Linked DNA regions of Neodiprion lecontei. The protein of the gene in region 2 interacts with the protein of the main gene of each other region in a pairwise test. Links are inferred from orthologs where the notes say so. Each region holds a gene or a part of one and is shown on either strand. Other genes may lie near its edges. The genes, in order: splicing factor U2af 38 kDa subunit and splicing factor U2AF 50 kDa subunit.

Region 1 (14,369 bases), on a different chromosome or scaffold from region 2:
TTTTTGCCAAAAATGCAAAGGGGTCAGCCCTACCATTGGATGAAGAATATAAAGAGAGTGACAACCGAAAATTGCTCCGTGAGATGTTCTAACGGTAGAGTTGAGAACTTATTGCAGAACATCAGAGAGATTCCGATTTCGACATGATGCTGGCTGCATTCACCTTCTGAGTAACGCAGTCTTCGCAATGGTAAGACCAGGCCAGTACTTGGCCTGAGTGTACTTACCGAGTTGTTGGCGATACAAGAAATTAATAATGAGAATAAATATCTTTCAAAATTGGTAGCGAAACAGTGATTTAATTAAAGTATAGGTACCCGAGAGAAGAATGTATACATAGATCATGAATAAAAATAGATCAGAAGTAATAATGATGCAGAGACCAAGAAGTATAAATGTATATGCGGTCCATGTACGACATTGATATATGTGATTCATTCATGATTAATACGTGATGCATACTATAAATTTTATAATTTTCTACGAAACATACTAGATTATCTACTATAATCGGCTATAATATGACAGTAAAAGAATTGTTCGTTTCGATATGGGATACAATTCGGCACGCAGTCTATACATCCCATAACATTAATATTCAGAATTGGGAGTAGGAAGAGGACTGGGATCAAGAGTAGGAGTAGGAATAGAAGTAGGATCAGGAGTAGGTTCAAGAGTGAGAGTAGGAATAGGAGTGGGATCAGGAGTTGGAGTAAGATCGTAGTAAAAGTAGGAGTAAGATTGAAGTAGAAGTAGTAGTAGGAGTAGAAGTAGGATCAGGAGTAGGAGTAGGAGTAGAAGTAGGAGTATAGGAGGAGGATCGGCGCGGGAAGGGTAGGGTAGGGTAGGGTAAGGCATAGGGTAGGGTAGGGTAAGGTAGGGTAGGGGAGGGTGATGGGTTGGTGGGTTGGTAAGGTGATAGGGTGGCGGGGTGGTGGGGTAGGGTGGGATGGATAGAGTACCCCACCCTACTCCGCCTTCCACTCACCCCACCACCCCACCACCCTATCACCTTACCAACCCTCCAACCCATTACCCCACCACCATCCGCCTACCTTCAATCACCTTCGACGACCTCCGTCCTTCTCCTTCGCTTCCTCCTTCCCCACATCTTTCTTGTCCTCCTCCTCCTCCTCCTCGACCACCTCTGTTCACGTCCAACCACCGCCAACGACCTCCAACAACCTTCGCTAACCACCTCGGGTTATACCTCGAATACTAATAAATATTTTCAGTATTAGAACACATGAAAAATATTGTGTAAGGATTAATATGATTGTTTTATTCACAGATTTGACCAAGAAGATTTCGAGAAAATTAGAAAAAATTATACAAATTTTATTAGCTCATTGATAGCTACCGAATTCGGGCTTGCGCGAAAAATGAATTGAAATAATTTATTGTAAACATGAAAAGTTTCAAAAATTTTGGATAGAATATAATTACAATTGCCATTAAATATTATAAAAATATTTTACCCACCTTGCAGAAATCCTCGTTCTCCTTGTCTTCCTTGTCCTCCTCCTTCTCGTCCTCCTCCTCGTCCACCTCGATCACCCGCAACCACCCCTAACCACCATCGCCCACCACCTCCAACCTGGAGCGCAGGAACCATGGAGCGCTTGTCCTGGATTTCGAGGTTCACCAGGTAGCGGGCCTGGAGCGCAGGAACCACGGAGCACTTGTCCTGGAAGTCGTGTTTCACCAGGTAGCGGACCTAGAGCGCAGGAACCACGGAGCGCTCGTCCTGGATTTCGAGGTTCACCAGGTAGCGGACCTGGAGCGCGGGAACCATGGAGCGCTTCTCATGGAAGTCGTGTTTCACCAGGTATCGGACCTGGAGCGCAGGATCCAGGAGGTAGAGAACCTGCTACTCGAAATCCGCGGAGCGCGATTCTCATACGTCCTCTCTACTGCGCGGTTGTTTCCGGACTGAGAAATTCGGTTAGCTGATTTTCGTCGTCAACGATTACTATAGATCGATGACGTCAAGAGAGAAAAAATTTTGGGTGACGTCAATTTCTGAATATCCGAACACCGAAACATCCAAAATTTGGTTTCGAACTTTAATACTATATATGATGATAAGGATGATTATGATTTGTGACAAAGTGATGTATGTGTTGAATTATAAATACGTGCAAATAAATTCTCGGGTTATCATCTTGCTATATACTACTTTCGATTACCGTGTTCGGTACGCTTTTTGTTGTAGGTGGCTACAAACCACTTGTCTCTTTCTAGACAGCATTTTCAACATTTTTAACCGCACCTTCAGCACGTAACAATGTAGTCAATACGCATCTCTTGAAATTAAACAAATGTGCAACAGTGCAAGATTTAACTATACTGGCTTCAATTTCTTTCCATGCGGAATAGCAGGTTATAACTATGAGTATCTTTTGATACCGGTAGTGTGTTCATCCGACAGGATAAAAATTGTTCTTACGGATAATGTTGCGTTGGAAACAGGATGTAATAATCTGAAAGCTATCGGATGATTTCCCTTGAAAATCAGTTATTGACAAACAGCCGTTGATCTTTCAATAATGTTATGTATATAATTCTGAATATTACAAAATTTGTCCTGTGAAAACCAGATTTTAACCGTCCTTCTTAGCACTTTGAGAAACTGTGAATTGACAAGAATTAATATTTAGCATTTCGACGATTGAGAAGAAGAATATGACTTGACAAGTTCGTCAATATTATGCCCAAAGTGAAATATTTGTTTTAGCTATTTTTCCTGAACTATAAACAATGATAAAAAGGATATCAATACTTGATTCATTTCAATGCATTACATGTATTACGATAGTAGAATAATTATAACGTATGAAATTATTTTCTTATATCTCGAACAGCTACTCATAGAGCTTATACATAGATAGGCTCTATGGAATACGCTACGAACAACGGATGAAGACTTACAGACGAAAACCAAAAGATTTCCTTCGTAATTCCTCTGTTGTTGGTCCTACGCTCTTTTTAAGTTCTTTTTTCCATTTCTGAGGGCCCAATTGGTGAAAAAACTTCTGCAAAAAGGATTCAGAGACGAAAATTTACGGAGCTTTGAAAATCGCAACAATGCAAGGCCTTTGGATGTTTTCAGTCAATTTTTGACGGATTTTGGAAGATACTGAAATCGATTAATTTATACCTAATATGGACGTAATTTTGCGAAAGGAATCGATTGCGTGCAGTCCGAATACGCTGCGACCAACGGATCAAGAGTTACAGCCGAAAAACGAAAAATTTGCTTCGTGTTTCCTCTGCTGTTGGTCCCACGCTGTTTTTGATGACTTTTTAGCATTCCTGAGGGTTCGATTAGCGGAAAAAGAGTTCTGCGAAACGATTCTGAGAAAATAAATTTCCAAGCTCTGAAAATCGCAAAAACGCAACTCCAGCCTAATGTGGAAGATCACACTGATTTGACATTTCATCTTCCACATAACGTAGAACGCTCATCTTTCTCCAGAACCTTTTTTTTTATTATGTTCACCTAAACCAACTTTTCAGGAGGTGCCAGGGTGGAAAATCGCAAATCATTTTTTTCTGAAACACCCTATTGGTACATACAATCTACCTGGACAACCCTTGGTCAAATCTCGATGGTAGTGAAAATCGGGCAGGAAAGGACCAACGCCATTCGAGTATTTACTAATGCTGCACTGGTTTACTTGTTGGAGCCGATACCATTTCAAGTACATTTCAAGCATTGTTTATTGTTTTACAAACTGTTGCTTTACAATAACTGACTAAATACCAGTTCACAAAATGACGTTCAAAATAATACTAGTTACGAGAGATTTCGATATTTTACGGCTAAAATATTTATTCCACACGTGAACGTCGTTTATAACGCAGTTATTATATTGATAAACTTATTGGTATCACGACATTATAATTAATTCAGTAACTGCAACTCTGTTTTTCTGTTGTAAAAACTGATAAGGCTCGTTTCTTTTCCACAGTACTCGAAACTTACTGCAAAGATCTGAAATATGCTTCTGACAACTTTGTTACATCGAAAATTGAATGATAGTGAAATATCAGTTGAATTTAGGAAAGAGATACATCAATAGCGACCAGATCTTCCGTCGCGACCTTTATCATCTCTTCCTTTGCGGTTACGATCCTTAGATCTGGATCTTCTCTCGCGAGAGCGAGATCTACGCTTGCGATCGGTACGGCCTCGTGACTTTGATCGAGACCTTGAACGACCACCACCGCCACCACCGCCGCCGCCACCGCCGCCGCCTCCGCCTCCACCACCACCTCCACCTCCGCCACCTCCGCCACCACCCTTGCCGCCCTTCTTGCGGCTGTACAAATAACGGCGCAGCTCTCTTGAAATTGGTTTCAGATGCATGAAGTTGCAAAATCCAGAACGGGTGCATTCTCTGAAAGCAAGAAAATTGAATATTTAGAAACTCGACCAAAGAATTCCAAGAATCTTGAAATAAATTTATCTCTTCTGCCTGCCAATTTGGAAAATAATCGACTAAAATATACGGACTTTCAAACCAGAGACCAATCAAATATCAACGTTTCGAAATAAGCAATGCATTTCAATATCTAATTTGAAGTGCATTCTACACATGCAAAGAAACAACAGTTCTTCTTGTCCACCTTGATGTGAGGAAAAGATTTTCTTTTACGGACATAAAAACGATTGTTTTGATGGTTCTATATCTCTTCAAGTTGCGCTACTATAAATGGCTACGAAACACGTATGCGGATAATCTGATCGCACAGGAAATTCGACGCTAATAGGAAAAGGTGAATTCAAAAGCGTTGGGCAATGCAACCATGATATATGCAGTCTCTAGTTGCATTGTGTGCTTGTTTACGATTCAGAACTTTCCTGTTCCACATTACGAGTTTTTGGAGTAGTTCAAAAAGAATTTTTGGAAATTAATACTTCCATTGAACTTGCCCGATTGCAGATTCATTCTTGATTTCTCCACCATCACCGACTGGAATGGATAATCTGTTTGAAAAAACTGATTTAGTTAAGCCCTGTTCCATTGCCTAATTAGGGATCACAACAATTGAGACATTTTGTGATATTTTCTCGGCAAGGCATAAGCGACAGATATTGCAATCACGACAAGATTCATCTATGCATCATATCCATGGAAAAATAAAGTCAATTAACTTCTCATTAACACTGTAGATCCTAGTCAAGATAAAGAGATAAAGAACCAAAACACATGCAAGTACACACCATAAATCTGTTTTAGATAAAGGACCACAATTTGTAATGTACTAAAATGAATATTTTCATCGAAATACAAGCACGCATTACCATCTTTCACACACCAATTCGTTAATTCCTATTTAGCATTCATTGCTATTTTGACTTAATTTCACACCTGTAACTATAATTTCTTAAGAAATACTACCACACAATATCAATTTTCATAAACGACTTCGCATTGAACATAGAATTCTCCATAAAATTTACTAAATCTAGTTCCAGAAATGGAGATAGTCTAAACTTTATTGCTCAGTGCGATTGTGAGCTGAATTAAAACATTCCTAGAATGTTTCTTTTATAAAACAATCGATCTGACACTCGGTAAATAAATATTTCAACGATCTGCACATCAAGGTCGAATAGGTAAAACTAGTAATACCTGAAAAAAAAACTCATACATCAGAGTACGAACAAATACAATGTTAACTTTGAGAAATAGAATCGTAGCTCGAAATTAATCCATGATTAAAAGAAAATCTTTATACATGTACATTAAGACCCTGGTGCTTACCCCATTTCATACTGTCTGCAGCAGGCTTCCCTGAAATCTGTCACGGGTGATAGTTCGGCATAAACAGGCCTTCCACCGAACCACCGGTTGTTTAAATCATTGACTGCTTTTTCCGCGTCTTCTTCTCTCCGAAACTTGATATAGACATTACCAACAAGATGGTCTCCGAGGTTATCACAAACGTTCATCTCTTCTATTTCCCCATACTTATCTTCACACTCGACAAATACATCTTCGAAAAAGTTGTCATAATGCTCCTGCATCTCTTCATCGGAAACATTAGCTACCACTATTCGTGAAAAAGAAATTAATTTAACAAACATGATACAAATTTAACAAAGGTCTGATTCATTATTAAATCCTTCTATGATTCAATACTCACAATGGGAACCATCAGCGCTCTTGGCAGAGTTCTGCGGATTGACGTAAAGATTTTGAAGCAGGCATGTCTGTCAAGAAGAAATAACATTTCAATTGTGCATCAGAGGTTATAAATCAATAATTCAAAAAAGGTATTTGCTTACCTGGCTGAACGTAGGTTTGTTGTGGATACGTGAGCACCTATCTCCGTGCCGACAAGCTCCGATTTTAAAATAAAAGGAGCAGTTTACTCTGTAAAGGTTAAACGGAACGCCGTTAATCAAGAACGCACAGCCCACACGCTGATTATGTATAATTTCTTTTTCTCACAGAATACAGAAGAGTTTGACGAACTTAAATTCACTTACTTGTCTTTCTCGGTACCGAAAATGGACGCGAGATACTCCGCCATGGTTCGCCTCTATTTACTATTGGACTCCAAATTGAAAACCGTCGAACGATAAACAGTTAATTAATACACGTCAGAACAAAACCGACGGAGACCATCCTCCCGCGACACGCTCCAGAACAAAGAGTGTAGCGGTGAGTGGAACCTGGCATAAGGCAGCAATGTAATTTTCCGTATACGAATCTCTGCGCCCTCTAGAATATCAGTGACATAACTAATGTCGAATGTAGCGCTAAAATTCAAATCTCAGGTCCAGAATGTACGATCCAATGAATAACAAATCAATATAATCAATACAAATATTTTTCATATTATATAGGACTCATTTTATTGCACAACTTTGTCGAAGAAATTGTAATCCCAATACCAAATTGTCTATCCCTCCAATCAAAATTATACTTAACTATAGTGATTTTTTCCTCAGAGTGGCAACATTGCTGTACTATCGGAGCTGTTCGACCCATAGACCCGAAAGCAGGCTACTGCGCTACAAATTTAACAACGGCAGTTTTAAGAACCGACAGAGTGATCATTTGTGACTGGATCATTGAAGCCATTCCGAAATGGAGGATGAAACTGAATTGTTACAAAATATATTTACAAAAGTAAATAGCGATGTTATGAACCAGGTATGTGTGTGAATATAAAGATCTAAGCTATTAATTCTAAACTAAATCCGTATCGTTTGAACGTTAGGTCCATCACCATTCCCATCTTCGATTTCTAGTTCCTTCACGCCTGTGTCGACGAAATATGCGGGCGGAAACGAGTGACGTTTCAACAGTTTACAAACAGCGTTGAATGGACCGAGAATGAGTACAAAATAGCCCGTCAGGTTATTTTCGATTTGTTAAGAAATCCGGCAGTGCTGTATCTTGAAAATGAAAGGGTAATTTATCAACAATCATTCATTCATTTATTCTAAGTATCTTGGACTTTTTTTATTCAACATTTTTTTCGTAATCATTTACGCGACAGATGCCACATCGATATGTTGAAACGCCTGCCGAATTACAACTTGCGATACGCACATGTGTAAATATACGAAGAGAGCATCTGGTTAAGGCGCTATTGAGGGAGCATTCAATCAAAAATGGAACGACGTTGCTCGACTTTGACTGGAGATTAAAGGTACTTGAATAGAGAAATAATTGTATAAGTCAGCTGATAAAATTCAATAATTACCCCTTTTAGTGGATTATGGGATCAAGCAAACTCGCCACGTTGAAAGAACCTCTTCTGCAGTTGGATCTTATCATCGAAGATAGCAAGAGTCAGCAAATCCTCGATCTTGAGTTGAACAGAGATGAACTCGACATGTTGATAAATGCGTTGGAGGAAGTGGGAGGCTGATTTGAAAAACTGTTATTATACCGAAATTATAATAGCGTTCAGAATAAAGATATGCTTACGCTTGGATAATCTTATTCTATTCCACCGTATTAATTATTTCTATCATACCCATAAGTTATACTATTTTTAGGTATTGAAAACTCAAGTATTGTAGTATTAAAACCTTATGTCGAAAATGTTATACTGCACACATAAAGTAGGTACCTCCTAGAATGAGAATACTAAAAATCTTGATTTTGACATAAATTACATGAAGCAACATTGACCCTAAAGCATAATTACAGAATAATGAGAAAACCAAACGTTTTCCTGGACAATTCAATTGTACCGTATATGTAATATTTACACCCAATTTATACAAATAATTTGAGTTGTCGTAAGATTGATGAACAAGTAATCATCTGTTTATAGAACTCTAAAGTGCTTTACTATGCGAACTGTGTATATATAAATATCTATTATGAGCGCCAGATTTTTTTTTCCCCGTTGTACCTTATCGCAGTAAGTATGTTCACTCAAGTCGGCTGATATAGGAGAGCATAATGCGTTTTATAGGACAGTTTAAGAGGATCATGAGGCAGTCGGAAATTATAGAGAATAGATACACTTATTTCACAGTTTATTATAGGTTTGTTATAGATAAATGTTGAATAGTTTAGTTATTATTATAACTGCGGATCAGACACTGAAAACTGAATTTCGATTTTCCAAAACGTCCACGAATGAAACTCCACGTTAAAATATATCGTCTTCAACGCAACATAAAATACCGAGGGATTATGATTCAGGGACGTTTTAGATTTACGATTTAATATAATTGATTGGTGCAGATCAGTCGCATCGAAAGAATTTAAATAGAAAGATTTGTTGGTTTATCGTCAAATCTTATTTCGAAAGAACATTCAATTTCGTTGTAAGTTTGTAACCATTATTACAGATAATAATTAAAATCCATAAGAGTAGGGGTTTACTATACAATTTTTAATTTTACTTCCTTCTTGCTTATCAATAGGTATATCTTTTAAAACCAATGTCGATCAAGAGCAATGGCCACACGCTTCTCTAACACTTAGAATAATAATTCTGATTTTGGGGCGTACATATGGATTCTTTTTAAGTTTTTTTTTTTTTTTCGTTTTATTTCATTTAGGTTTATACTCTCTACGCTACGAGCTTAATAAAATCTTTCATAATTAATTAATTAGTAAGTTTTACTTCAACCTCCGGAGATTCGTATAAACGTAGAAATATCGTATGAAAAATTTGTAAAAGGTGTTTCAGGGATAATTGGGTGGATGTGCGGGGCATCGTAATTGTAATTAGGCAATATTCTTTTAATAATTATTATAGAAATTAGGATAGGTTTTGCAAGTATTTTATACGGATATAATTAGCATCCCGAGACACACTTGGCTCTTTTTTTTTTAGATTATATATCACTTACATTGCTCAATCTTACTGTATATTTACTCCATTTATGTACCGTGTTATTCTCGTTTTCCGTATGTAAGTTATGCGTGAGTGTGCATGTTTATGTGTGTGTACGTGTGTGCAGCTCTTTATTACAACTTAAAACATCTCAAATAGTATAAATACAAAAACATTGTAGTTTAAAAAAAAAAAAAAAACCGACAAACAAAAATACGAGGAAAATAATTAAACTTATGCACGGTTTCCGATGTGAAACTAACTTTCATATTCATGCTACGCTGTGTTGCGTTGTGGTTAATGGTGGTTGTGGTATTGTAGTTTTTTCTTGAGTTTTCTTTCGTCTTTCCTTTTCCACGTGGTGCATTGTGCTGAGTCGATAGGGTGTTACCCTTTGAGTATTTCCCTCGGAGTACCCAAGATAGAGTTCCATCTATCTCACTCCAATTCACTTAGAACGCACAGTAGGCCTTTCAAATTCTTTCAATATTTTCTTGGGCTTAATTAATAATTAATGACACTTTAAAATTTCTACATGGCAGGAAAATTGTCACCTGCGATGGGCACTGCCCAAAGATAAAACGCCATCATCTATCTCGTTCATCCACTTATTTTATGAAGAAGTGTATATCGCTCGAGCGCGAATTTCGGTGACTGATATATATTTTTTTTCATTTATGAAAACCAATTAATTAGATTACTACTTTCTTTCCAATTACTAAATTATTTATCCATTTTCCACTTGTGTTTTTCCAAAGATTTTTTCCTATCAAACAGTTAATAATTAATGGGTCTACTATAAAGTCTGTATGCTCTCACAATGTTTCATTTAACAATCGCGCTTTTCTTTCTGCTGCTCGTAATAAAAGAACGTTATTTTCTGTTTAGTTGCAGGAATGGTCCAAATATATGTATACATATATATATATATGTGTGTATGTATATATATATAATATACTTTTTTGGTTTTAACGAGAAAAAAAAACTTTCTTCTTCCCAAATACAATTCGGTTTAACGCTGCTTATTCCGTGATAACCTTCTGGTGGAGTGAATCATTGACAATTTCCTGTAACATTAAGAAGAACGATGATGAAAAAATTACTAATTTACTGCGCAAAACTTTTCTTCAATTCAATTCACAAGTTGATCCAAATTTATTGTTACTATAACTTCATACTCACGTTTGCGTTGTTGCTCTCGATGGCTTCGTTGACTGCAGCCGCTACTGCTTTGTCGCTGATTTCAAAGTCCTCAATAGCCTGTAAAGATGAAAATGAATAATTGATAATCTGACAACCAAAGTTTTGGAGATTAGGAACACATAACTGTAAAAAATGTTATACTACGTCGTAAAGAATAAAACGAAAATAATGCATTATATATAAGTCAGATGGCCCCTCGCTCTGTAGTCTTCACTTGATTATTTATTAATAAAATTCAGAACTACCTATACTCGACGAGCAATAAATAGTCGATTGGCGATCATCATTCTTGCAAGATTTACAACAAACTTTCATCGAAACTTTATTCTGACTACAATGCGTCTGTAGTCTTTTTTCTCTATTGAATTCTGACTGTAGTTTGAACATTTGAAAAATATCTTTATTGATTACCTTGGTCACAGAGGCTACATCTTCGGTGAGAGCGGGCTCCGATGGCGGAAGCACTGGCAGCTCTGCTGGTACAGGTGGAGCAGGACTAGCCGGAGCTTCAGTCACACTCTCTGTTGCGCTAACTTCAGCTGGGTTTTCAGCAGGCGCTTCAGGCTCGGCAATTTTCTGTGAAATGAATCCCTCATCAGACAAAAGCTTCGAATAATATTTCCACTTAAATTGTACATACACCCAAGTTCCCTCTGTACTAATTACGTAAATCTAAATGATACTTCATTGATTAAATTGTGCATTTTCGATAATACGCATCAAATAAGTGTGAATTATTGATGCAAAATATTTACTTCCATTATTTTGAATTAGACCGGTTGCTTTAAATGCTTCACCTTATGTGTAGAATAAATATCTTACTACGCCAAATGGATGTTATTAAATAATTGATCCGGTCGAATGACAAGTATAAAAATTTCGATAACTTCATGCAATGATAATATTATATAAGTCCCCAGGCAAGACAATTCACATGCGCAGCATACCATGTAACACATATTCTACTACAGACGCGACGTTAAACAAGGCTACAAAGTGAGAACGTTGAAAATTTGTTTGATTAATTATCAATTTCTAGATTTTACTAACTAATAGTAAATTTTTCAGCTCAACTACGTCTATCAATGAGTTTGTTTTCTAGAATTCAAATTATTTAACAGTGTGTTATTCATAACAATGTTTTCTTTTTCCGAAGAACACTTCCTCCACTATTTTATCATTATTACAGGCATCAATTTTGCTTCTATTTTTCAAAGCCAATCTACGTGGCTCTGACTTTATTTTGAGTTGCAATAAAATTATGTTAATGTTTCAAGAAAACCAAGAGGCAAACAACACATGGGTTCGGGAATTTTGGGACATAGTATTAGAGATTGTTAATAATTTTGTGTCGTAGAAAGGTAAAAGATTTTCGTAACCATATTATAACACACAGATACTAATGGCAGGCGAATGTCGCTGGAGAGTGAGATAGGAGACAGATTGCCAAGAGCACAGGCGTCGATTAAAATTTATGGGTAACAAACGACGAGAATTCTTAAAAAAGAATTCTTTGATTCCATAATGCTGTGGCTGATACCTTGTTTTTATAGACACGTACAAATACTATTTCGTTTGGTTTTTTCAAGGGAAATCCAACAAACAAGGGAAAGAGAGTTCAAAGCCGATAAATGCTGCTCTGTGTATCTTGCATCATGCTATTCGATATAAATATTAATAAGTTGCCTAAGAATGTCATGCTGAACCCCACAACGAGCTCTACATGACAGAAATTGCGAATGCGATCTTCGGCAAGTACAATGACAGGTGGATGTAATATGTTAAGTTCTATCGATACGGGATGATGATGTGGGGGAACGTATACAATTGGGAATCAAGGATGAAATACTTCAGGCTATCACAGAGTGTTGGAGCGCACACAGAGACAGTTGTCAATCAAATAGTGAAATTTGGTTTGGTTTTTTTTTTTTTTTTTAATTTTTTTCACCAATATTTGGCGCGTTTGATCATGCCAGGGATGTGCATGTTAGTCACCTGGGCGTTTTCCGGCACAGCGGTTGGTACAGCTTTCAACAATGGGCAACTGGGTGAATTTTCCAATCCGTTCATTCCCTCCGATTCAGCTAATCTCTCCTTCAATTGAACATCCGAATCATTGTATGAATTAAGGCTTTGTGATAGCGACTCCAATTCAAATTCTTGATTGCTCTCCTTATCATTTAATTGAAAATGTGAAGACTCTTTTGGTGATATCAGAATATTCGTAGGACTGGGACAGCTGGGAGAAGACGACACAACTTTCTCCGCTGGGATTTTTGGAGACAAAGGTTCTTCGGTGGGGCTGCCATTTTCGATAGTCAGTTCGGAAATATCTTGCATAGGATTGGATAAGTTTTTGGTTGGTGTGGGACAAATCACGACAGGGTCATCAGAGGCATCGAATTCGTTAGGAGGGACTGGAAAATCGTCTGGTGTGCTGGAAATTTCTTTGACTAGCTTAGGACAGCTTAAGAATTCTGGCAATACTTCGTTTATTGGGCTTGCAAGTTTCACAAGAGGAGGAGAAGATTCGGAAAGGTTTAAAGTATCCGTTACAGAACTGGATAGTTCTTGCAAAGTGTCTTTAAAAGGACTAACAAGGCCTTCAGCCGACATGTGACAAGCTCTCAATTCCTCAATCGGGTCAAAAACATCCTCAGAATCCAAATGCCCAGAAAGGTCGTTCATCATAGTTTTAGGCGAAACGAAAGATCCACCCGTCAGAAGATTCATCGACTTATCAATCTTTTCTGACAGCAATTCACCCATACCTTGAGACTTCTGTAAACTGGGAATTGGCGATTCTGGCAAGGGTGGTACAATTTCATTGACCAAACCGTTCATCGTTGGAACAACTGATACACTTTCTGTCTGGATTGCGTCGCTGCTTTTAATGTCAGTAGAATTCGTTTCCACACTTTCTGCCAGCAATACGTTTGAATCAGATTCATTTAACAGAACTTTATCAGTTTCCAACACAACGTCAATGGTTTCAGACTTTCTTTCACTTTCCAGCAAATCGATCGTCTCGACTGCCTTGATAACCGACTGGGTAAAATCGTCCTCGGAAACTACATGAGCTGGCCTGGCTTCGACTAAAGATTCCTCAGATAACGGCAACGGACCTTCTTCCGATTGAATAACGAAGAAAGATTGGTCGTAAATTACATCATTATCAGGCACAACTGACGCTTCAATTTTCTCAGTGTCGGGTGCATCTTTCGCTGGTGAAGTGAGACTCTCCCATGACAGCGAATGGAGACCAGATACACCGTTTACAACTATTTCTTGTGTTTCCAAACTTTTTAAACAAACGTCGACCTTTTCGTCAGAACCCAATGAATTATCGACTTGTTCGATAAAAACATCTGAAACGGCTTGGCCTGGAATAACTTCTGATTCGATAGATTTGACAACTTCGGCTACAATTTGGCTACAGGAAGCTACAGGAAGACTTTGGTCCTCGTCTACAACGGGTGAAATTTCAGTTTCTTTAAGACTGTCGGGTACCTCGGTAACCGGCCGACTGACCGTAACAGGATGAGATTCGGATGTGAGTTTAGCCTCTACAATATTAGACTCTGTAACAACAGTCGTTTTCGACTCGGCAAGTGACTTGGCATGTTCAACTTGCTCTTTAGCGATCTGTGATGCCATACTAGCAGCCTCGGCAGGCACCTTCAATGCTTCGGCAAGTGCCGATGCATTAGCAGCAGCGTGCTGAGCCTGCTGCAGGGGGGATGGGTCAATGGGGGTTGGCGGAGGACTGGAAGGAAGCGGGGGTGGGAGGTCCTCACTGGTTTTCCTCTCAATGATAGACGGCGTCGTGACTGGCTGAGCTT
Region 2 (17,057 bases):
GCAGAGAAATTACGAAGCAAAGAGCATCAGCTGAAACATGTCAAAAACGCAGGTTCTGATTTTTTGGCTGTAACTATTGATCCGTTGATCGCAGCGTATTGGGACTGTGTCCAATCGATTTCTCCCGCGAAATTACGTCGGAATAGTGCATGAGAGAATTTATTCCTGCACTTTTCAAAGTCGCGAAAATTTTCGCCAAAAATACAAAGGTGTTAGCCTTACTCTTTTCTTCATTTTCGGAGCCGAAAATTTTTGGTCTCAGATTCGATTTTTATGACCCTTTCCTGACTAATTCGACCCCTAGGAACTCAGAGAACGCAGCGAAAAAAGCGTGGGACTAACGGCAGAGAAATTACGAAGCAAAGAGCATCAGCTGAAAAATGTCAAAAACGCAGGTTCTGGTTTTTTGGCTGTAACTTTTGATCCGTTGATCGCAGTGTATTGGGACTGCGTCCAATCGATTTCTCTCGCAAAATTACGTCGGAATAGTGCATGAGAGAATTTATTCCTGCACTTTTCAAAATCGCGAAAATTTTCACCAAAAATGCAAAGGGGTTAGCCTTACTTTTTTTTCATTTTCGTAGCCAAAAATTTTTGGTCTCAGATTCGATTTGTACGACCATTTTCTGACTAAGTGTACCCCCAGGAACTTAGAAAACGCAGCGAAAAGAGCGTAGGACCAACTGCACAGAAACGACGATGGAAAAAACCAGCAGTACTGCAATGTCTAAATACTCTCTTTCGTATTTTGGCCGCAACTAATGATTCGTTGCTGGCAGCGTGTTGGGACCGCGCGCAATCGAATCCCCTCGCAAAATTACGTCGGTATAGGATAACAATGTAATCATCATCGCATTTTGTCATTCATCCAAAAATATACCGAAAAACCGCACAGAGGTTATTACTACTTTTCCAGAGCCAATGATTTTTCATTTCATAATCGTTTCAAACGTCCCTTTCCAGACTAATTTGGCCCTCAGGGTTGCAAAAAAGACATGCGGCACAGCGTAGGACCAACAGTTGAGGAGATGCGAAGAATTATCTTAGTTTTCCGGCTGTCACCCCTGATCAGACTAGTTGACAGCTAAAAAGTCACTTATGCGATTCATCACAATGCATATCGTCAATGTTGGCAATATAAAAAGTAGATGAGTATATAGAATATACATGTATGACTTCTTTTCCAATCGCTCGCATGCAGCGGAATCTTTGAAACACATACGCACAGTTTCGAAATCTACGTAGAATCACAACACCTCTCTCACACACCACTGTAGAATAACTTATCTGGATGTGTCAGCCAGATAAAATACTTGATTACCGGTATCTCTTATCTGTTGATTCATGAGGCTATCTTTGGTAAAAAGAGGCGTGCTACATTCGGTGAGAAGCAGCCTTCAACGCTGGATTGTGTGCAATTCGTGTAGAGTTTAATAGTGAAAAGTGAAAAGAAAAATCATAAAAAATGCGTGCCAAAAGTATTTTGTACTACTTTGCCATTGGTCTATGTAAGTTTATCACTGCGATAATTTATATAATTTATATATATAAGCAAAATTACTCTATATTACTTAGGATTACTCCTAAGATACTTATACGCTGAACAATTTTGTCCGATCAATGTAACAATTTTTTTAAAATTGTACAAAGTGCTATTGAATGTAAAAGATAGCAAGGCAATGTATTGCTTCTTCGTCAACGGAAAACTAGCTGTGGGTCAATTCTTCTTCATGTTCTAATGAAACTACCGAATATCTTGCAATGATCCAATGTTGTTTGATATTTTGTTGCAGTTATTCTCATTTTGCGAATTACAGTCACATTAGAATAAAAATTGTACAATTTCACGTCCTCAAACTTCGTCCTAACGAAGTAAAATCAAAAATATACCTCGCAAAAATGCTAACTAAGTATTTCACTCGATATCAATAAATCATTATTCATCCATTAATCTACACGTTTGATCTCCTCATGTAATACAGTGATCATGGGAATGTTCATGGAAGAAGTTGAAGCAAGGCGTAAAATTCTCAGAGGACGTAAAACAATAACCAGACGTTACTACAGTAAGTAAATTAAAATACAAACAATCACGACAAGTTTTACGTTTTTTATAGAAAAATACAATTGAAAACTAAACTCTGATCATATTTCAGGAGGCACCGCAATTCCAGCTTGGTCAATAGTTTTGATGACCGGTATTGGAATGCTGATTATCGGTGCTGGTTTTTACGGCCTGCTAAAAAGGCTGGTAGTGGACAGCGTGGATACAGACAGTTCTTACCAGCCTGCGTTGCAACAAGAAATTTAATTTCTACTAACACACTCAAATAATCACCCATTTATTACATCGTCTTGATACATTTAATTTTACGTCAATATAATGTTATTCTTATAGGCGAAGAAACAAAAATTTTTTTTTTGGAATCCGATCTAAAAAATTCTCCATTACGTCTCTGTGGCGTTGTGATTAAACATCATACAATAAAACAAAAAACTTGTTATTCCCACTCAAGATGATACAAATTTTATTTATACCCTTTCTATATTATATTTATATTTACATGTATGTCTTTGCCAATAAAGAGCGAAAAATTAGGATTCTTTGTTTCAATGTAGTCATTATTTTTTTTCTTTTAATTTTATTTATACTGATTGGACGTTAGCCTATACTTTAGGCAGTAGCGACAAAATCTAGGTAATATATTCTACCAATTGTATTAATTTGCAAATAATAATGCATGGCATATTAATAAAATTCACCATAAATCATGTATATATTAAATAAATAACATATTTTGCGCAAGATTTTGCCCCTACTTTTCGGGGACACATAGGTATTAATTATTCATTATAAATAATGTTCAATCAATCATTATTTGTCGACTTGCTGAAGCAAATATTCAACTCTCAAGAGCATTGGTTGCACTTGAAAGAAATTATTATGAAAAACAAATGACCTTATATTCATACGGAAAGGTAACCGCTGATTTCCGTACAGATCACAAGGAAGCCATAAAAAAGAGACCGTACCTTGTGCCCGTATTAAATTAAAGCACGAAACGACAATTTTGCGACTCACAAAGAAACAATATTATTATAAGAGTTCTGCTCGTATTTGCTTCAATATTAAATGAATTGCTCTCAAAGCTCGTGATAATTAGTAGATAATTGTTACTCCGTTGTGAAGAACGCTGGATACGTCTTGAAAATCGTCAATAGACCATTGTCACGTAAGCACAAACTTTGCCTTTGATAATTATATAAAACTAAGAAGAGGGAAATATCGAAGGCAACGTTTAATCTCATGTTATCGCGCAAGGTACTGATTCTGTTAGCCATAGCCATATTTACCGTAGTAATGTTGCTTTTGTATATGATTCACAAGAAGAGAGAGCAAAAGCAGAGAGATATTTAAAAAAAAAGGGAAACGCCCAATGGATGGTCCAGCATAGAAAGAAAAAAAAAATGTTAAATTTAAATGAGATACAACTTCTTCTAATCATTTGAAAAGTGGGAAACTAAGAATACTTTAAAAATAATATCAATACACTGATTTAGTAGCACTTGATCATAGTTAAAAGCATATCAATTAACGAATAACATACAAGTAGACAAAATTTTTGCTACAATGACAATTGCGTTCAATTTCTGATTATTTATTGACTGTTACGAGGAATGGAACTCGTATATATTTAAAATTCTCGGCGATGGTACTTGTCAGGGTCAAAATAGGACGTTACAACGACTCGATTGTTGAACTTTCGTCCAGTCAACGTTTGCTGTGCCTTTTGACAGTCTATCACGCTGTTGAACTCAACAAAAACCTGGAACAAAGTTAATCATTGATTAGACATAGTTTTACAGACAATATGGCAGTTAATCGATGAAATTCGGAGAACGATTCATCATGCTGTAAATAATTGCATAAATATTGATAAAACGCCGAACCTTTCCACATCCAGGAACATCAACGCCTTCGATGGGCCTAGGAATTTCTACTGACCGAACGACTCCATATTTGTTGCACTCCTCCTTGATGTCTTCAAGAATATCTTCATACTCCTCCTCTTCCATTAATTCCTCAGGTGTTACCATATTGAGTAAGCATAACACCTAGAAAAATTTTATTGAAGTAGTTCAAGTAAAGGTTCAATTTGGTCTGACGATCACGACAAAAAGAGAACTTCTTCAAAAAAACAAATGTCCCCTGTACCTCGGTAGCTGGACCGCTAGTGCCAACCATCGAGAGACCAGGAACTTGAATTTGAACTGGAGCCTGAGCGCCGATCATTGGATTCTTAGCTCCGACGCTGGCCCGTTGTACAATAAGTTTTTTATCCCCAAGCTGCATCCCATTGAGCCCAGCTATAGCTTGATCGGTCATCGTGACATCAACGTACTCGCAAAACGCGTATCCTTTCGATAATCCTGTAGCTGAATCCTTCACCAAGTTGAATGCCCGGAGTTGTCCAAAGCTCATCAGCAGTTCCTTCACCTGTTATTTCATTATCAATCATTTCAAGTATTAATTCCGAGGTATCCTGATTAAATTTGAAAGTGGAATGTCTATTTTGAAACATAACGATTTTGCTCACTTTTTTTTGTCAAAGTCTGGCATATTCTCAGCAGATATCAACGAATCGAATTGAACGCAAAAAAAGAAACAAAATTGGCTCTATCATGATTATGAATATTCAAATACTTCGTATATCAATGGCAAGAATCTGGTACAATAGCAATCTACTTTTTTTCGCGTATATTGTTTATTTATAAAAAGAATTGAAGAATCGATCTATAATCTATGTTGTTCACCTGTTCCTTTCTTGTGCAATTTTTTAAGATCATCTACAACCACTAGCCCCAGCAAGTGTTCTGTTTACTTTCATTGCTTTCATAAATGTCACAATATACTTATATTTACTGATGATGTATCATATACTATTAAGATAATTACAAATAAATTGTGATGGAAAAAGTTTATTGTTCAAGTAACAAAAAGGAGGAATTTATTGCTGATTGTTAAACCAATTTAAATGGAAATCGCGTATCGTTACAATCTATTAACTACACGCAAACACTTGTAGAAAATAAATTGAATAGGGATTTTCGTTTCCACTGAGAGAAATAAATCGACTATTTCAATGTTTTGTTTTAACAAAGTTTGCATTTCGAAATAATCATTAAAAAAATGAATGTGAGGAATGTTGAATGTTTAGCACGCCAATGTGCTCGTCTATCTATTTTTAAACGTAATTAAATGATATGGATAAAATTTGTACATGAGACGATAACGCATTTCGATACATGAAATACAAACTCTTGAATATAAAGTTTGTACCAAATGCAACACGAAGTGCGTTAAGGTGAGGGTTTGTGATAAATGTATTAATATGCATATACACATAAAAATACAGAATCGTGGGTTGTATACTGCACTAATGCGCACTACTATACCTTTTGTCTACTTACAGTGTTGACATTTTGTCAGAGACACTGGAAACGTTGTAGTTTTTTTTTTTGTTGATAACAGCACGTTAAACTTGTATCAGTAAATTATACAATTTCAACCAAGTAAGTCATCTCTTTTCATACAAAAAAAATAACTGTCACATCCAAAGATGCGCAAAGTTAAATTCCATACACATTTGTACATAGAGGCCAAAGCCAGGTCTGACAAGTATGGATCACGTGCTGTCATCGTGAAACTCTTAAAAATCTAAGATACGCACCAAATTCAGAAGCCATTTAACGGTCGCCGTCCAAGTGGCTGCAAAAGTCTCTTTCCAAAATGTGAAAACAAGCAAACTGATATGAATACTTGCCTCAAGAAACCAGACTACCCGCACTCCGGCAAGTGTAGTATTTTGTCATGTTCAGTAGTAGTAGTAGAAGTGGTAGTGGTAGTGGTAGAAGTAGTGGTAGTGGTAAGCGAATGCTTTTGATCGGCACGACCCTAAGCTAAGAAATGGGGAGAAAGAGCACTGGTATCAGTCCACATTTTCTTTATGTTTCCAAACGATTTTCATTTTTGTTGTTGATTTCTTGTACTTTTTCTTTTGTTATGTTACGGTTATAAGATCACTGTTATGCTTTTCATCATAAATTTAACAAGACACTTTTTTTGACTTTTTAAATCCTTACTTTATCATGAAAAGAAACATTAGTTTCGTTTAATATACAATTATTGGCCTGTAAAAGTTGAATGCCTGAAATACGTAGAACGTGCCTGTAAAGAAAACAGCTGCAATAGGAAGGAAAAAAAAGTATTCCTGAAATATATGATACTGGATAAAAATCTGTAGTCATAACCAGATGCACCTAAAAAAATACCTGTAAACCCACCCAAAAAAATACCCAATTCTCTATGGACTGTCCACTCATTTCTCCCGCAGACCTAAAAAAAAAAAAATATTCAACAGCCGGACATGAAATTCTAACAAAATACCAGAATTGAATTGCTTCCAACTTTAGCTTATGAGCAAAAAAACAAAAAATATACGATTCAGAAAGGAAAGCAAGTTATATGACCAACATTGTACCATTTCTCCCTTCATCTCATTCACCTTGTGAATAAACATTTTGTAGAGTTTCCTTTTTTGCAAATAAGAATTTAAAGCAATTATTCATTTTGTTTTGTTACAATTGAATATCCAGACGTGTTGAGATGGCTGAAATGACCCCCCTGCCCGCCCTGCCAGCTTCAGTTTGACCATTTCCTTCGATAGAAAAAAAAAAAAAAAATGTCTAAATCCTTAGGATAAAAATTACAATCGGCTGGATCCACCGTACGAACGAATGAATGTACCTAGAAAGGCTGTAAAAGAAAAACGTCACTGCGACAGCGTGCCACCTAAAAGCTGTAACGCCACTAGCCTCTTTGCCCTAATTGTACGACATGCTTAATACTCGATATTTTGAATGAATCAAAAAATCTTTTGCACATCGACAATCTTTGCACACACCTTTCAAGTACAGTCTTATCTGATTTCGAAATTCGCGGAAAATTGATTAAATGCGAAGGTAAATGAGTTTCCTGGATGGACAAAAATACACAGGCGTAACTTCATTCGAAATCTCGTAGAAGAGGCAAAATGAAAAATGAACCCCTACATTTCTATGCTAGCTAAACGACCCTAAACGACGCTGAAATCGGAACAATACATACCTCTCAGGAATCTCACACACGGGTGTTGTACGCAGAGTCTCTGCCAGATCGCTAAATACCTAGTTTACAATTTAATGATTTCTTCTCACTTGTAGCGGTGAGAAACGATATCGTAATATGCATTTATTTGCTGAAACGATACCGATCCTCAAACCCCCACCAGTGTTCACTAAAAAATATTTCAAATAATATTACGGGGATGTTTCAAGTCTGGATTTTGCGTTTACCGTCTTATCATGATTCGAGGAATAGCAATTTGAAAATTTCTTTGCATTCGGTATGTTAGTTCATCAGTTTCACATTGAATCTTAAAAGCTGAGAAAGAGCTATGTTTAAAGCGACTAACTTACAACATTAATTTTCCAAAAGCAAACGAGAAAAAAAAATATGTTTGCACAAAGCAATAACCAACGTTCTCCACAAAAATTGATGAAAAAATTAGCATCCCACGTAATATGCACAGATAATAAATGATAATGAACCCAAACAAGTAAATATTGAGTTTGTACTTAAAACATCTGGCTGACATACCTGTTCCTCGTTCAAGTAGTTGGGCAAACCGCCAATGAAAATCTTGTGTGGTGAATCTGTAAAAAGAAAGAAGTTCTCCATGTGACCAAAAAAGTTGTGCTCAATTTCTGACGTGCCATTACATCTGACCAGAAGCACATACCAGGAATCGTACCTGGCACGTTCATGCTAGGGTTATCTGTCATGCCAGGCATCGGCTGGTAATCGTGCGGCCTCCTTATTTTCAAACTTTGTCCTTTGAAATTAATGCCGTCGAAAGCCATTGCTTGTGTCGTTTCATCAATGGACCGGAACTGTAAGAAATATACATCAAATGACATAGTGGTTCGGTAGAATCAATTTAGTCAAAGCCAGTAAATGCGGAGTAAATACCTCAAGGAAAGCAAAATTTTTATCAAGATTGATCTGGCAGGCAAGTACGGGATTTCCAGCAGCCTGTGCAAGGCCGGAAAGATGCATCTGCTGGTTGAAAAACTCCATCATTTCCTCTTCTGTAACTCCGAATGGAATGTTTCCGACATAAAGTCTCCTAGCCTGACGTGTTATTGTGCTGCCCACAACAGGTACTGCTGCCTGAGGGGTATCAGCTACAATGTTCGCTGGAATTTGTCCTGCAGCTTGCATAGCTTTGTACTATAAAAAACAAAAAGATTGAATAAGATTTGGAATCAATCTAAGCTTTGAAATTGAAACTAATGGCGTTCGAATTGTCAAAAACCACAAACAATTTTATATTACTGTATCACCTGTAATGGCGTGATGTGTTCGAAACCTGGTGGCGGAACATCCCAATAAAGAGAGGGTTTTCTCCTGCGAGAACTGCGACCCTTTTTAGGTGAGCTGCTCCGTTTTCTGTCACGACGATCTTTTGAACGAGACCGTGACCGCTTCCTACGGTCCCGACTCCTAGATCTGTGTCTCCTATCTCTGTCTCTTTCCCTCTCCTTTTCTCTATCTGGTCCTCTTTCCTGACGCTCGCGATCTGCAAATGACTCTTCTGGTGAATAAAATGATATCCATGCTTTATTATTTCTATTCTCAGTACACATGTCATGATAATAGAATTATTTAAAGTTTAATTTTTTTTTTTTTCTTGACATGAATGTTGTTGCCCAAGTCATTTCTCAACTAATTTTAGCCTTATCTACTTTTACCATAAATGTTGTTACCTTAATAATTTCTGAACTTAATCTAATCTTGGAATTATTTACTAAAGGAAGCAGACACATTGTTTTCAACTTATTTTAGAAAAAGAAAGGGAACGAATAAATGAAACAATTATCAAGTATCGGATTGTTCCTTGAAATTCAAATTCAAACATCGCTACCCAAGCCATAACATATTTCTCCGAAATGAATACTTCAAATGCAAATTGGCCAAAAAAAAAAAAACAATGTATAGAGTAATTTTCGTACAAGGGATCATAACCAAGTAGATTAGTTTACAATAATAGTGTCAAGAAAAAATTACCGCTAGTCGAGGGCTAGTGAACCTTTCTGGCTTGTTAACAACTGAAATAAATGACATTGTGACTGTGACGAGATTTTAGAACCCTGCCCACGATGATTGCCAGTATAATAGGGCCAAACATGGAATTCATCCCGACAGCGAAAGGCGGCTCGAAGGCTTATCAGATTCCATTTAAGTTTCGAATTTCGTACGGTGCAAATCGTTGAAAGGTTGGAATGTAAGTATACGTTGCGAAATAAGATCCGTGTGTTTACTCGGTGTAATAGACGCTGCCGCCATTACTGAATCTTATTATAAGGTTGCAGAAACCGCCAGGAGACCACCGCCGAGGAGGTTAGTACGGGGTCTGAATATGTATTTGATTTAGGGACGATATTCTCACCTCCATTGAAGTCCTCTCCCATTGTGAAAAACCGTAAACAGCGATACTATTCACAACAATGAATATCACAATTATTCACTATGCGTAACACGACGGGTGACACCTTATTTTAGAATCGGAATATCGGCGTAGCGAGCAGCCAGATGACGGAAGTGAACAGTTTTCGATTTTCGAGAGTTATCGAGCGACGAAACTTCTGTAGACGCCAAAATGGCCGGCAAAATTGATTCGGTCAATAAACATCATTGAGATAATAGTAATTATTATCCAATGATTGAAAATTTATATAATTACTGGGATATTTAAAGATATTATAAAGAATCGCAACTATTTCCAAAAATATTTGCAGAAAAATGTGCAAGTTATATCAAGCATGGGGCGCATGGCATATATAACTATTTCCTGTTTTAGATTGATAATTATGCACGCAGAAGCAACGCGCCGAATTCACAATTATCCAAACTAGATCGTAATATCACAATAACAGCTACCTATCTGATAGTATTGGAAAATTATAATGAAAGAAATGTTGAGCCTCCTTTCAACTCGACCTTATTATAACCATCATCGGATTTTTTCTGCAGTATCGTACTTTTTACGTTAAATGAAAAAAAATCATAATATTACATATTCGCGTTATATTTTACGGCTCGCGATTGGCTGGTCAAATTATAATTTTTTATTACGGGGGAAAAATTTTGAATGAGAAAAATCCAGCAATTTGGATCACTCACAGAGTCCTGTAATATAATTTAATTTACACATCACCATGCAGCTGCTGCGTAAGTCGCTTGTATATAATAGGAAAGAAAATAAGTATCTAACGCAAAATAAACTGATAAAAAATATTCCCAACTTACAAATTCGTAGAAGTCTAAAGCAATCTTGTTGAGCGTATATCGACATAACTAATAGCAGATTATATTACAAATAAACATAAAACTACAATATAATACTATATTTATGATGTCTGCGTGTTTCTAATAATCCATCGCGTTAAATAGTTCTAAAAATGAAGGTTAAAATAAAAAACAAGTAATTAAAAAAAAAAAAGAACAATACGAAAGCGATGCATTTTGATGCAATCTATCCGATTGTAAATATTTTTCTCTCTTGCCATCTGTTGGATTCGATTTGCAACAGTATGGGTTAGAGGCGTCAATTATCGACTGGTGAACAATATTAAAAAAAAAATAAGAAATAAAATAAGACAAGGCAAAAAGTCGTTGATAAGTAACCGTTGACAGCAGCCAAAGCAGAAAAATTACAATAACAATTATTTATAATCGAAAGCGATAAAACGCAATGAAAGAAATACGTGAAGGAGAGTCGATACTTTTGTCGAAAAGTGTACGGATTCGAAGAATAAAATAAATTTCATTGATGTGCCGTTGTGTATTAACCTTATTTTCGCACTTTTTTGACGTTCCTGTGCCTTTAGGCCTTTGGCGTCGAAAGCAACCTCGACGTAAATCGAATAAATGTCGTAACAAGATATTTTTCCCATATTCTTTGCACAGCAATTTATATTTCGTTAAAAATCGAGACACCTCATCATCAGCGACAAACGCATGGGATCATATAAAAGATATGGAATCAAATTACGACGAGGATCTGAACGTGAATATATTTTTTCAACAATTGCAGCATGAGTACACGAGTGTATTTGAAAAGGCGGTAAACGAGGGTTGGGTCATTTGCGTTCCTCGTTCAGGCAGCTTTTCCCGAGGCTCTCTCCTGGCCGACGACTTCCTCGGACACATTTTGGTACCAAGCGAAGAGCTGCCAGCTACTCACTTCCGAACATTGACTGGCAAGGAAGTGAGGCTATGCAACAGGGTCCTAACTGTAGATTACGATATCGCAAAGCCATGCACAGCGCATATATTATTCGAGGAAACCTTCTATACCGAAGATTCACAGAAGTATCGAATATGGTGTGTCGAGCGGATTCTGGAGCGAAGTTCTATCACTTCGTACGAGTCCCTGCCCACTTTGACAAATCTCAGAGAATGCGTAGATTTTCTCTGGACGGAGATATTGAACAAGGAGGTGCTCGAAGAGCTGGATAATGCGGTTAAAGAATATCAACAAACTGACCAGGATCAGCTTGAAGATAAACCGTTGCAAACTCAGCGTGATCTTGTTGCTGGTTTGTACGCGAAAAGCCTTCGCATTGTTCTCAGGGATTCGAGATTGAGGGAGAAAACAACTGCCAGTAGGCATTTTCTCAACGGTATAAAAGTCGCGGTGGAAACATATGTTCTTTACGGGTTGAGGAACCTCTTACCAAAATATGTTTCCGCTTGCACCGCCTTTGATGATGCGTGTCTTAATAAAACGATTAAAAACCTGCACGAATTGCAACTACGGGACCTGGGCGTCAGATCTGATCTTTACGGCGGCGCAGTTAGAGGAAAATTGGAGCTGGCAAGGCTCGATGGTTTCGCAACGGTTCTGGGAAAAATAGGCTGCCTTAAACGTGCGGTTCACTTTGCATCACAAGGTGAGAGTTCAGTTTCATCAGACGATTTGCTTCCAGTTCTTATATTCTTGGTGATAAGAGCGGGTCTGCCTAATTGGATAGCTCAGCTAACGTTTATAAAACAGTTTAGGTTTTCATCGACCTCAGAATATGAAACTGATGAAGCTGGCTTTTTGGTTACTTCTCTTGAGGCAGCCATTGAGCATATCAAATCTGGAATGTTGACAGGATCAGTCCACCCTGAGGCAGACGGCACGTATGAATACGTGTCTGGTAAAGACGAGCTGGAAGAAAACAGAGTGGATGAAGTATCAATCAGTCATTTTTTTGACCAAGTAAAACACGGAAATACGTCAGAAGTTGAGAGAATACTGTCTAAGGAAACTATAGATAAAATTAGACCGCCAAATGTTAAGCTATGTCATCCTTTATGCTGCTGTGAATCGTGCGAAAAAAGTTTAGCCAGGGACGCAAGGTTCAGTTTACCTACCGTTAATTCCAGAGATGACAGAGGATTAACGGCCCTTCATATCGCAGCTTTATACGGTCAGGCTAACATGGTGGACTTGCTTATAAGTCACGGAAGTAATGTTGATGAAGTTGATGCGGATGGTACTACTGCTTTGCACTGTTCAGCTGCCAGAGGACACCAGAATACATTACTCTTATTACTTCATGCTGATGCCGACCCGAGAATCACAGATGCTCACGGGAACACTGTCCTCCATTTAGCGGCTGATAATGGTCACGAAGCCTGTGTCAAGGCAATCTTATACTTTTTGGAGCACACTAAATGCCCGATAGATCCAAATTCATCAAACACTAACGGAGACACGCCGCTTCATTACTCCTCAAAATGGGGCTATACTGGAATAGTGGAAATCCTTCTGGAACACGGAGCGCAACCCAGAGCTGTTAACAGAAGAGGCCAAACTCCGTTGGTGCTAGCACACAGTACTAGCATCTCTAAGTTATTGGAAACTGCGGCGCACAGAGAATTTTTTTCGACACCTCGCCTGGTGCCAACCCAATCTTCACCGGCGATGACGCAGTCGTTGAAAACCGAAAAGCAATTTGAGCCACCTTATTCCACAGAGAGACTTCGCAGAATTGAAAGACTCTTGTCAGCAATTTCTGTAGGTGATCTTAGACTGGCTTACTACTATCTCGGCTTAGAGGGACCTGATCAGAAGCTTGTACAAACTACAGCACCTGCGATGTGCCACCCACTTTGTAACTGTGAACAGTGTACTTTGATAGAAGAAGTTCCCGAGGAACATCAGCGGAAGCCTGCCTTAGGAATAAATAGTCGGGGTGGTGATGGCCAGACTGCTTTGCATATTGCCAGCGCAACTGGTCGTGCAGAGTTTGTTCAGTTACTGTTAGACGCAGGTGCAAAGCTTGGTTTTAAAACAAAGTCCAGAGGGCAAACCCCGTTGCATTTCGCATGTTTAAATGGTCGACTTGCTGTAACAAAAATACTTTTAAATAGCGGAGAATGCGATGTCAATGTTAAGGATAATTTTGGAGACACTCCGCTCCATTTAGCTTCCAGGACAGGCAATGCAAAACTTGTTGAATTGTTAGTTAGACATGGAGCTAATCCTAAGATTCGTAATTCGAAAGCCATCACTGCACTAGAAGAAGCTGAAGAAAAAGTTATGGTCAGTATAGCTAGAATACTGAATGAACAAACCGCTGTTTCTACTTAGCTATTTGTTGCAGCTGTTATAAAAATTACATACCAAAACAGTAGACTACGCATATTGCCTAATAAACAGTACCAATGTTTATATTAATACTTAATATTCGTGAAATAAGTCACTAAATGGCCATGGTCTTTGAGAAACCAACAATCGTTATTGAAATTTGTATTATTACCAGTGTTTAACATTTGTGAATACAGTTCACTGAAGAAAGTGCTCTCAAAGATGAAAAGGAATAGCTGTAGTTTATACTCAAGTTATTTTATATCTTGAATCACGCTGATAGGCTACAATTTTTAGTTTTATCGAATTTAGGTCCTTTTTTTCTTTTCAGCTGTTAGCCACGAGCTTAAGTACAAATCAACATAAGCAATAATGCATGCGTACCAAAATTTCGTTACAAATTACAGATTACACATGAATAATGAAATCGCGACAAACATTAATAATTAGACTGATTCTTTAGTTTTTATTTTACCACAAACTTTAATATGTATAGTATATACAATAATGTATGAATCGTGTAAAATATAATATATAATATACCATTTTTTTGCTATGTACAGTTTTATATGGTATTTGCAAACATGTTACTTAAATATATATTATGCTTGTCATTATTGACTGTTATTCGTAATCAATTAACACGTAATTGGTCATCCTCAAAATATACATTCCATGTTTGGATAAAATTTCACTGATATAAATATAATCCAATCTAAACTAATTGTGCTTCACAATCAGTTAAAACGTAATATCTCAAGATAAAATCTGTAAAGATATTTTGATTCAGAAACAGATTTAAGCATTGCACACTCTGACGGATCCTGACATCTGATTGCCAGCTATAAATTAATTGACCTCTTCTATACGTTAAAACAGGTTTTTCAATGCGGCTTTTAGAATGTTTAAAAAATGTGTCTTATCAATATATCCAAGTTTATAATCTTTAGAAATAATTTGAGTAAATAATCGTATAAAACTCAAAACCGTCGCAGTTCCCCACATCCAAGCTTTTGTATACATGCAAAAACTATTTTTGAGTCTGTGTATCTTGTATGTGTATGAATTAAACAATACATAAATAGAAATCGTCATTTCTACAATATCGTTAAAAGATACATAACTTGTTCTACGCATAGATTAATTAGATTTTTCGTGACTTATGATACAATTTTTTCCGAGTTATCACAACAGATCACTAGAGTACTTTTATTTTGTTAAACCAGACATCTTTTTGTCGATTGTGTAATTCGGACAATTTTAACTAATCAACGATCTATAAAATCTCAAGCAAACTCTGTTTCATTCAAATGTTTCGACTACCCCAACTCCATAATCACAACATAGACATTAAATCAAACTACTGATACTTTTTTACATACTCTTGCAACGATTTCTATCGGTGCAACAAGTTGGCATGACTTAAAATTTGTTTTTCAACATTGAAAATGTTGATATAAAATGTGATATACATAAAAACAATGTCCGTTTGACGATGAGCACATAATTTTACATCATGCCACGGTTGAGCGTATCAGAGCGTTTTTATCGGTAAACTCTAATACTTGAAACAGTTGCATCAGGTATATTAGTACTGCGTTGTATTGCTTTTTATTTTATTTTATTTTTTTTTGATATAGAGAGAAATTTTTTCAATGAGATTTCACTATTGTTTTAAGTCGCTAATTCCTGTCTTTTACCTTTATTTGATTCTATTATATGTACTTACACAATGTCTGAGCAATCAAACCCGGCATTGTACAGCTCTCAGTTCATATATCAGCAGATAATTTTTCACTACAGACATAAAGTGATCACAGGTAAAAAAATACACTCTACTCGATCCTGGATATTTATCCAAATTCTGAGTTACTAAGTACCCTTGATTCCCACCCTATTAGTAACTAGGTAGGTAAGTAAGTCAACTAACTACTGTTGGAGAACAGATATTTTCTTTTTTAGAATTTCGCTGTATTAATTTCTTACTTCAAACGTATTTAATTTAAACGTCAGTGACCCCCAAGGAATACAAAAACTCTTGAACAAAGTTCTATGACGTTTGTATTGTAAGAATTTTCGATTCGCATAATTTATGAATTCGTAGACCAAAAGGGTATCTTTAAAGATAGAAAAATCGCGTAGTCTACTATTCGGCATGCTTAGTCTACTATTCGGCATTCCTTAAGGCCACTCAACAATACAATGTATTTATGTACTCTAAGTACTGAAATTTTGGCACTGCTTTTTATAACGGACTTTAATATTAAGAAAATAAATCGCCTTGTGGATTGATCGTTTTTATAAACCGTTCACATTTTCTCTTCAGAGCCAAAAATTGAGCAGCAGTATCGATAAATAAATTTTGAGTTCAATAGTAGACCACCTCTTCTATGTGCATAATCTATTTCAAATCAGGTAGTGTATTTTTAAAAATTAGCTTTGTAATATTATTCCTATTCGTAACTAGAGAATACTAACATTCTTATTACCTTAACTCACCGGAGGCAACGTCCAGGGGACAGATTCCACCGCTTTTCGTCGTTCTTGTCGTTTTTTCTGTCCCCTATATTTTCCTCGATTTGGACTCCAATTGACCGCATCACGTATTCTCCATGACGGAACAGATGATTTTTCTAACTTCTGTGAAACGTCTATACTATCAACCTCAAAAGGAAATTGAAACTCGGGATCATAGTACTGTCTTAAACTAGGATCATCACGACAACTCTGCATCGCACACCACGCGTGATTCAACAAAGCTGGAAATCTATTCAACCAATATGCTGTAAATTTATCTGGAATTTGTCCCAAGCTTAGTTGAGCCTGCGGTGTCAATTCTCGATAATGATGTTTCTGCAATGAAGAAAAAAGAACGTATAGTAAGTGGATTTAGTTTTCTTGCTGATATCTAATCCGACACGACTCAGAAATAAAATCACCTTGTTTCGAAGAGCTCTTAACAAATCTCTGACACTCTCTCCACGATAACTTCGATATTTTCGAAGATCGGTAGCAACTTCGACGTCTATGTGTAAGCGCCAATCTTCTTGCACAACAGCAGATGCTCCAGATTCTAAAGCAAGCAGAGCTGGACTGTCTGGGTCATCTTTTTCTACTCTATCGCTGACGTCCTACATACATTTAAGATGCAATAAATAAATTTCGACAATTTGACATCCATTGTTCTATGTATCTTAGATGATTCGTGCAAAGCCAACCTGGAAAAATCCAAGTATCTGTGCAGCGCTCCAAAATATGGGATGTTGGTGAATGGCAGTAGCCGGTGGGCGATCAGCTGGTGTACCAGCAATC

Evidence for each region.
Region 1: the proteins of splicing factor U2AF 50 kDa subunit (region 2) and splicing factor U2af 38 kDa subunit interact in binary tests that used the Drosophila melanogaster proteins (3 or more experiments, as listed by UniProt). The link is inferred for Neodiprion lecontei from reciprocal best matches to the Drosophila melanogaster genes U2af50 and U2af38.

What each region holds. Positions count from the first base shown.
Region 1 is NC_060262.1:38,673,902-38,688,270, forward strand, and holds splicing factor U2af 38 kDa subunit, read right to left. Parts: upstream 6,689-14,369; 5' UTR 6,547-6,688; coding exon 6,503-6,546; intron 6,387-6,502; coding exon 6,299-6,386; intron 6,224-6,298; coding exon 6,157-6,223; intron 6,064-6,156; coding exon 5,775-6,063; intron 4,994-5,774; coding exon 4,940-4,993; intron 4,404-4,939; coding exon 4,079-4,403; 3' UTR 3,706-4,078; downstream 1-3,705. Other genes in the region: COMM domain-containing protein 8, read left to right, coding at 7,107-7,172, 7,271-7,432, 7,522-7,674, 7,738-7,896; A-kinase anchor protein 200, read right to left, coding at 10,347-10,391, 10,507-10,584, 10,939-11,103. UniProt on the Drosophila melanogaster protein: Necessary for the splicing of pre-mRNA. Binds to the polypyrimidine tract of introns early during spliceosome assembly.
Region 2 is NC_060261.1:3,585,447-3,602,503, reverse strand, and holds splicing factor U2AF 50 kDa subunit, read right to left. Parts: upstream 9,711-17,057; 5' UTR 9,574-9,710; coding exon 9,552-9,573; intron 9,464-9,551; exon of another isoform or gene 9,449-9,463; coding exon of another isoform or gene 9,424-9,448; intron 8,697-9,423; coding exon 8,446-8,696; intron 8,333-8,445; coding exon 8,072-8,332; intron 7,993-8,071; coding exon 7,842-7,992; intron 7,756-7,841; coding exon 7,700-7,755; intron 7,147-7,699; coding exon of another isoform or gene 7,123-7,146; exon of another isoform or gene 5,968-7,122; intron 4,499-5,967; coding exon 4,217-4,498; intron 4,117-4,216; coding exon 3,952-4,116; intron 3,828-3,951; coding exon 3,696-3,827; 3' UTR 2,427-3,695; downstream 1-2,426. Other genes in the region: uncharacterized protein LOC107224427, read left to right, coding at 1,466-1,508, 1,983-2,066, 2,157-2,311; ankyrin repeat domain-containing protein 27-like, read left to right, coding at 10,935-13,748; serine/threonine-protein kinase/endoribonuclease IRE1, read right to left, coding at 16,236-16,598, 16,685-16,876, 16,964-17,057. UniProt on the Drosophila melanogaster protein: Necessary for the splicing of pre-mRNA. Binds to the polypyrimidine tract of introns early during spliceosome assembly.